Oryctolagus cuniculus: one gene and its partner. The protein of the gene in region 2 purifies or fractionates together with the protein of the main gene of each other region. This does not show direct contact. Links are inferred from orthologs where the notes say so. Each region holds a gene or a part of one and is shown on either strand. Other genes may lie near its edges.

What was found. The genes of interacting proteins can lie anywhere in the genome.
Region 1: the proteins of CARD11 (region 2) and MALT1 purify together in Homo sapiens (affinity purification with western blotting; 6 studies listed by BioGRID and IntAct, with this or other methods). This does not show direct contact. The link is inferred for Oryctolagus cuniculus from reciprocal best matches to the Homo sapiens genes CARD11 and MALT1.

What each region holds. Positions count from the first base shown.
Region 1 is NC_091441.1:19,750,913-19,755,163, forward strand, and holds the start of MALT1 (mucosa-associated lymphoid tissue lymphoma translocation protein 1), read right to left. Parts: upstream 2,839-4,251; 5' UTR 2,683-2,838; coding exon 2,456-2,682; intron 1-2,455. UniProt on the Homo sapiens protein: Protease that enhances BCL10-induced activation: acts via formation of CBM complexes that channel adaptive and innate immune signaling downstream of CARD domain-containing proteins (CARD9, CARD11 and CARD14) to activate NF-kappa-B and MAP kinase p38 pathways which stimulate expression of genes encoding pro-inflammatory cytokines and chemokines.
Region 2 is NC_091450.1:37,591,586-37,595,144, forward strand, and holds part of CARD11 (caspase recruitment domain-containing protein 11), read right to left. Parts: intron 3,270-3,559; coding exon 3,143-3,269; intron 833-3,142; coding exon 592-832; intron 139-591; coding exon 42-138; intron 1-41. UniProt on the Homo sapiens protein: Adapter protein that plays a key role in adaptive immune response by transducing the activation of NF-kappa-B downstream of T-cell receptor (TCR) and B-cell receptor (BCR) engagement.

The sequences.
Region 1 (4,251 bases), on a different chromosome or scaffold from region 2:
GCCCTTAAGGTTTACTTAACTTTTATTATTAAATAAATTATTTTCTAGTTTGTACACCTTGTAAGGAGGCAGGAAAAAAACAAAACAAAACAACAACCAGAAACACAACCTTCTGAGATATTAAGGCTGAGAATCCAGCGACTCTGAGGAAAGCACTTCATGTCCTCCTAGGACTTGTTACCCACCTGGACTAAGCTGCAATGCAATTTCTGCTTGGCACTAGAGAAAAACAGCTCCTTGATCTGCCATCACAGACCCTCTCCTCCCATCAGTATGATGTCACGTTAAAATAACTTTTTGCCTTACACAGAATCAGAAATCACCACCTGACACCTGGCCCCTCTGTTGTCACTGTCCAGTGCTAACCTTCTTAAATCTTCTGATCTCAAGAGGTATGAGCTTACTGTTAAATTCTTCAACCCTCTCCATCCCAACTAACTTCCTTGGAACTAGCCTCCACCATCCTGGAACACTGGTAAGACTCACTTGTCTCTTGTGGAAGTCTCACCCTGAATTCTCAGGTTCCACAACAGCAGGCCCTCGGGTGCTGGTCACCTCTTGCTAGGCAACTGACCCCCCCCCCCCCAATTTGAACCCCAGCAAAGCGGCCTCAGTCCTTTCTGAATGCTGGCTAGCATCGTCTGCAGCCTGTCCCAAAGCCTGACTGAAGGCTTGGGGAGGAAAGCAGAGCACACGACATCACGTTATCCACAATTTTCGGGTTCCACCAGCCACACTTCCTGGCAGGGCTTGCTAACGTTCTTCTCTCTCCTGCATGGCCAAATACAAAATACCAGGCTCTCTTCAGAAACCTAGAGCCATCCCTCGTGCTAGTTAACATCGTAAGACTCTGGAAATCTGCCTCCAAAGAAGATAACTTTCTGCATTACGGTAATTACAGAAATTCAGAAATCTACGGACCTAGGATAATAGTATTTTGGATTTTCTTTGCATAGCTGAAGTCCAATGTTTCCTATTTCAGAAAAAATGATGTCACCTGTCTGCCTGGCTTTGCGCCTGCTCACTTCTTGATCCCTTCCTCACATCATTACTCTTCCATATGGGCAACAATCCCCTACATCATTACTCTCTGCTTCAGTCTCAAACTCTGAAACTCGTTGGTGGAGGCTTAAAGTAGGTAACGCATGGAAACACTCAGCACAGTCTGGTATACACTGTGTGCTCCGTAAACGATAAAACACATTACCTCCATTCATATCCGGCTCAACACTGAGTATGTTATTTGTGAACATCCCCAAATAACAGTTCATTATTAGATCAATCTTTATGATTAGCAATTAAGTATTTGTTAACTTTTTTTTCTCTTCTGGGACTTACAGCTGAATAACAGGCACTCCATAAAGAAAATCCTGAATGAAGGACTCCACTGAGGATTCAGCAAGTATTTATTGTCTAAGAAAGGTTCAACGTATAAAACAGGATATTAAGAGATGTCTCCTTGTTCTTAAGGAATTTTCAGAGAAGTGTCTAAATAACTATGGTACAAGACAAAGTCTAGTCATTTGAGAAGTACAAAAAAACCACTAAGGAGTTAAAAAGGCAGAATGAAATCCTAGCAACGGTATAGAGTAGTGGTCTGGGGCTGCCTATCACAATTCGAGCGGGTCCACAGGTCACGAGGATTTTTCCGGGTAATTGTAAGACCTTATCTACCCCTTCCATTCATTGTCTCAGGACCGCATACTGGAGCTTCCAGTGTTTCCTACATGCATTACAGCAACGAACCGAAATGCAGAAGCCCCTAAAAGCAGCCAGTTCTTGGGATTAAGTCAGAGCTTTAAAGGGCTTTTTAAAATGTAAACGAATGCAAATTTTTGAATTAATTATTTTGTTTTAGACAAGTTCGTTTTTTTTTTTTACCCAGAAATATCATTTGCCTCAATGGTAAAAAGTTAAACATTTGGAAGACGTCTCGGTTTAAATTTCAGCTGAAATATCACTGTATACCATACCTATGTCACATATAACCCCCCGTAAAAGCTCTCTGGGCTCCTCCAAAGCGGTCCTGAGACCAAAACCTTCCAGCACGGCCGAGCGGGCCTTCCAGGCCGGATCGGGACCACAGGCTCTCGCCGGAGACCAGCAGCGCCCTCCGTAACCCGGTTCGGTGCAGGAAGACGGCGCGCTGGTCTTGCCCTGCTTCCTTCTCTCTCGCCCTCCCAGCCTGCGCGGATTCCTGCAGCCCCGTCCTGCCCGGAACCCTCTCCGCCCCTCCTCAGCGGCCCGGGGCCAGCTCTCCCCTCGCCACAGCCTCGGCGGCCGACCCCCACTTCTCCTCCATCGCCAGCAGCCGCGGGGTCCCCGCTGCCTCTCCCTTCCCTAGCCAGGGGTCCCCGCTCCAGCCCCCGACGTTCGCGGGGCTCTGCGGGGGCCGAGCGCTCCCTGACGCCCCCTCCTCTCCGCCTCGCGCCCGCCGCGCTCGCCCCGGGCTCACCTGAGCCGCAGGCGCCCCCGACTGCCCGCCACCTCGGCCAGCCTCCTCCAGCCCCGGCCCTCGGGCGCCCGGTCCAGGCTCTCGCTGAGCCTCCGCAGCAGCGGCTCCCGCAGGCGGTTGAGGGTCGCGCCGGCCAGAGGAGCCAACGGCGGCCCCGAGGGCGCGGCGAGAAGCGGCTGCGAGGCCGGGGGCGGCGGGGCCTGCAGCGGCTCCCCCCACAGCGACATGGCCCGCGCCGGCGACCCCGACTGCCGCAGCTCCCGCCGGCCACGTCGCGGCTCTGGGCTTCCGCGCACCTTCCGCTCGCCCCCTCGCTCGCCTCGGAGCCGCGGAGGCAGGGGGCGGAAGGACCGGCAGGGAGGAAGCTCCGCTCCCCGCCTGGCTGAGGCAAGTTTGCCCGGAGACCCGGGGCAGCCGCCGGCGCGCCAGCCGCACCGAGGGGCGGGGCCTCGGGGGCAGCCCGCCCAGTGCGCGTGCGCGCGGCCGCGCGCCTCCCCCGCCGCCTCGGAGCCGCGGCCGCGCGAGCTTCAAACCGCTGCTGAGCAGGAAGGGGCCGGTGGCTGCAGCTGGAGGAGGAAGCGGCGGAGGAACTGCGCGCCGGTGGCTCTGGCTCGGCGAGGAAGCCTGCGGCGTCGGGGCTTCCCGCGGCCGTGGGAGGAGGCTTGCCTCACGCAGCGCGGGGAGCGCTCGACCTCCGCGGCCCCTGACCGCGCCGCCGCCCTGCTCCGGGCAGCCTCTGGGGCCGCTTGCTTGGCTCAGTTGCGTGTGGCGTTGCGAAAGGGACGTAGTCCCGAGATCCCAGCCGGGGCTTCCATGTGTATTTTTTTTTAATATTTTTTATTTATTTATTTGACAGGTAGAGTTACAGAGAGAGGGAGAGAGAAACAGAGAGAAAGATCTTCCTTCTGTTGGTTCACTCCCCAAATGGCCGCTACGGCCGGCACACTGCGCTGATCCGAAGCCAGAAGCCAGGTGCTTCCTCCTGGTCTCCCATGCGGGTGCAGGGGCCAAGCACCTGGGCCATCCTCCACTGCCCTCCGTGTGTATTTAACACTTGAGCTGAGGCACGTTGAAGACCTCGCAGATGGTGTTTCTGGGTCAGGCTGCCATCCACAGGCTTCGTGATCAGAGCCGACCCTTCCGTGGTACCCTCCGGAGTAGACGAAGTCCATCCCCGGGTTCTTTTCCCCTGTCTTCGCAGCATCCAAAGACATCGTCCCATTGACACAAGGAAGTAACTTAAGAACCGTGGCCAGACAAGTGGCCCCTGGTGCAAGGGTTTCTGGGCCAGTGTCTCGTGCCACTAGCACCCCCACCCTCCATTTTTTCCTCAAAAGGGGGGGGGAGAGAGAGAGAAATGGCATGCCCAAATGCCCACAAGAGCCTGGGCAGGGCCTGGCTAAAGCCAGAGCTGGGAACTCAATCCACGGGTGGCATCTTTTTTTTTTTTCTTTTTTTAGTAATAGGCTAACTTGAGCCATCACCTGCTACCTTACAGGGTATACATTACCACAAAGCTGGAATTGGCAGCTGCAGCCGAAAAGTTAACCCAGGTACTGCACTGTGGGGCATGGCGAGGCTAAACACCCACCTGTCATTAGCGTTTTCATTACCCAAGGCCACAGAATTTTCTACAGCAATAATGTGGACACTCAAATTGTCACTACCATTAGCAAGGTTGGTGCTCCACACGTCACGTTCCTGCGCAGGCAGTAACAGTTCAGAGTTCAGAATGCAGTGTAATTGCTAAGAGCGTGACACCTGGATCCAAGAAAACCCGTTCGATTCAAGTTTAG
Region 2 (3,559 bases):
CAGGGCCGTCGCAGAGCCGTGCAGCCGTGCAGCCGACCTACCCGGAGCGTCCTGAGGGTGTGGTGGCCGCCGTCTGCCTCCTCCCGGGCCCCGCGGTGCATCAGGCGCTGCAGCTTCACCAGGAGGAGCTGCTGGGCCCTGAGGGGCAAGAGGGGAGGCGCCTGAGGGGCTATGACGGGGCCCCGGGGCCGAGCAGGGGCTGGGCGCGTGCCGGGAGGGCCCTCAGCTGCCTGTGTCTGCCCCCAGTGCTGCCGGCCTCATCTGGGAGTCCAGCCTGCCCGTGTTCACCCTGGTCTCGCCTGTGTCACGGCTTTGGTGTACAGACGCCCTCGGGACACCTGTGCCGGTGCCTACCCCCTGCCCAGGCTCCGCTTCCTCTGTGTGTGCGTGTGCGTGTGCGTGTGCGGGTGTGACAGACAGACACGGACTACAGAGAACAGGCGACCAGCAGGCAGGGAAGGGTGTGCGGTGGAGGGCCACGCTGCGCTAGGCTGAAGAGCTCAGTGAAGGGACGGAGCTGCGTCCCGGGGGCCTCACTGTCAGCCAGCAGAGGCGCGGGCCCCTGTGCTGACGCGGGCAGCCTGGCCTCACCGGCTGTAGCTGGGGATGGTGCCCATGTCCAGGTCGTGGTCGGTGAACGGGTCGACGCGCGCACACAGCCACTCGTGCCTGTCCTGGTACATGGTGTCGCGCACGTGCACGATGTCGTCACACTTGAGGGACATGGAGCAGGCGTCCAGCTGGCTCGAGATGTTCAGGTTCAGGCGGATGTAGAAGGAGTCGCCGGATGTGATCAGACCCTCCTCCATGTCCTTGAGCAGCCGTCGGTACCCTGCGCAGGGAAGAGCCATTCCAAACGCCAGCCAGACCCCTACAGGCGTGGGCCCCTGGCCGTGAGGGCACCTCCAAGCAAGCACATGTGCTCACCACCCCCTCGACAGCTGCCCGCACTGTCCACTGCTGAGCTCATGGCCAGTGGAAAGGTTTCTTCCCGGTGAACGGCTGGCTATGCCATTGACAAGCTCTCCTTTTCACCCTGGCTGCCAGGAAGCTCCAAGCTGAGTTGCCACGACGCCCCTCGCAGGCATTCCTGCCCCACCTCCCTGCCTTCTGCACGGCCAGCCCACGTGCTTTGTTTGTCCACATGGAGGCTAAACTCGGAATACGGTGAACGGCATAGATTCCCCAGCCTTCGGCTCAGCGAACTTTCACGATGTACACTGGCGGGGCGCCATGGCGGGGTGCTTGCTGTCAATGCCTCCTCCCCCAGGGTGGCCTGTACCCAGGCTGCCATAGCCACAGGGGGCTGTGTGCCACCCCAGAGACAGGCCTGTCCAGGAGGGCTGTGCATGACGCCACAGTGTGCTGGTGGGCACCCCCAATCCTCCTCTGGGCTACTGCGTGCCCCGGGTGCATAGCTATGAACAGCTTGCAGCGAGCGCTCTTTGCCTGCTCCCGAGTGGGCAGGCACTCGCTGCTCACCGAGGGCACAGCTAACCACACACAGCCAGCTCTGCCGTGGCTTCACACTCACAGGTTCAACCCAGGATTAAAAATGTCAGGAAAGGGGCCGGTGCTGTGGCGTAGTGGGTAAAGTATCCCGTATGGACGCCAGATATGGGCACCAGTTCGAATCCCGGCTGCTCCACTTCTGATCCAGCTCTCTGCTATGACCTGGGAAAGCAGAAGATGGCCCAAATCCTTGGGCCCCTGCACCCACGTGGGAGACCTGGAGGAGGCTCCTGGCTTCAGATTGGCCCAGCTCTGGCTGTCGTGGCCATATGGGGAGTGAAATAGTGGATGGAAGACCTCTCTCTCTTTACCTCTCCTCCGTGTAACTCTTAAATAAATAAATCTTAGTAAGGAAAACGTGCAAGCCTGCACCTGTACTAATGCGTAGTCTCCCTCCTGTTGTTACTCCCGGCACCTATGCTGTAGCAGGTACCAGAGAAGGCTGGGGGGGGCGGGTGCGCAGGTGAGGAGCATCATGCTAAGGGCCTGTGAGCTGTGGAGTCTGCTTTCCCGGGTGTCCGGGTGATCGGGCGTCTGCGCCCCGTGGGGCGGCGTCTCTCTGCAGTCTGCGTAGATGCCGCCGGACGGTTTCCGTGGGACACCGGGACCGCAGCCCATGCTGTGTTCCCTGACTTCAACACCACAGTCCTTTTGAGCAGATTTTTGCAAATGCTTTGGAAGGAAGTCAGACAGGTGCTCGGAATACTCGGGACGCAGCAAGCTGGCCGTGACCGCACAGTCACAGGTCCCTCACACAGGCGGCATCCGCATCACACAGGGGCAGATGGGCTCAGAGGGGGCCGAGCCGCTCACCCACACACCCAGGGTCACGTCGGCCTGCAGGGGGACGCTCCCAGCTTCCCGCTGGTGCTTCGGGAGTCCAGCCTTTGCCGGGTGCACCCACCCCCCTCCAGCCCCCTAGCTGGGCTCACCCGAGATCCCCACCGCTAGAGAGAACTTTCCTGGGAACTCCTGAAGGCAGCGCTGTGCTGCACAATGCCGGGCCCCGCTGCCCGGGGCACAGAGCCTCGCTCAGACTTTCTGCAGGGTGGGAGGGCCAGGCCCGGGGGCAGGGGCCAGGGTGCCACAGCGGGGCAGTGCAGGAGGGGCGCACGCGGGCGGCGCAGGGCAGCGGCTGTGCGCTCTGCTGAAACATTCACGGGGCTGTGTTGCAAAGTCAGACGCAGCTGCAGAGAGACCCACGCGGGAAAACCAGAGGGGAGGAGGGGGACTTGGACCTGAGACGGCGAAAACAGAGCTCAGGGCCTGCTGCCCGCCGGAGTTCCAACTGAGAGAGGGGCTTTGATATGAAAACCTGCTGGGGCCACGATGCGACTCAGCAGCCACGCTGCCTGGAACACCCTGAACTGGGCTGGGAGCCAGAGGGAGGGAGCACACTTCACACACACAGCGAGGGAAGGCTGTGCCCCTGCCCACTCGGGAGCGTGGCCTGGGCTGCCGCCTCCAACGCTGCCCTTGTGGCTGGGGGCGTGGTGTCCACCTGGCCCACCAGACAGCCCAGGACACCCTGGGGGAGTGGGGAGCAGGTAGAGACCTGGAGGGCGAGGTCACCTGTCCAGGGTCAGGGCTGCCCCTGTGAGGAGCCAGTGCTGCAGGGCTCGGGCCTCACCTTCCTGGTTGACCTTGTAGTGCAGGGTGACGGGGCCGCTGCACCTCTGGATGGTCCAGTGAGCCTCCTCCTTTGTGCAAGAGTCCAAGGGCACGCTCTGCCTCTCGCCTCTGATGCAGCCTTCGAGCTGGGTACCAGAGACACATCGTTCCCCTCGGCCCCGCACCCAGGGGAGCCAGGAAGTGAGCGCTCCTCCTGGTCAGAGGGGCAGCCCAGGGCTGCTGGGAGGGAAGAGAGCATCCCTCCTGGGGGTGCCCCTGCCTCCCGGCCACACCCCTCCCAGGGGGGTGCCCCTGCCTCCTGGCCACGCCCCTCCCAGGGGGTGCCCCTGCCTCCTGGCCATGCCCCTCCCAGGGGGTGCCCCTGCCTCCCGGCCACGCCCCTCCCAGGGGGTGCCCCTGCCTCCCGGCCACGCCC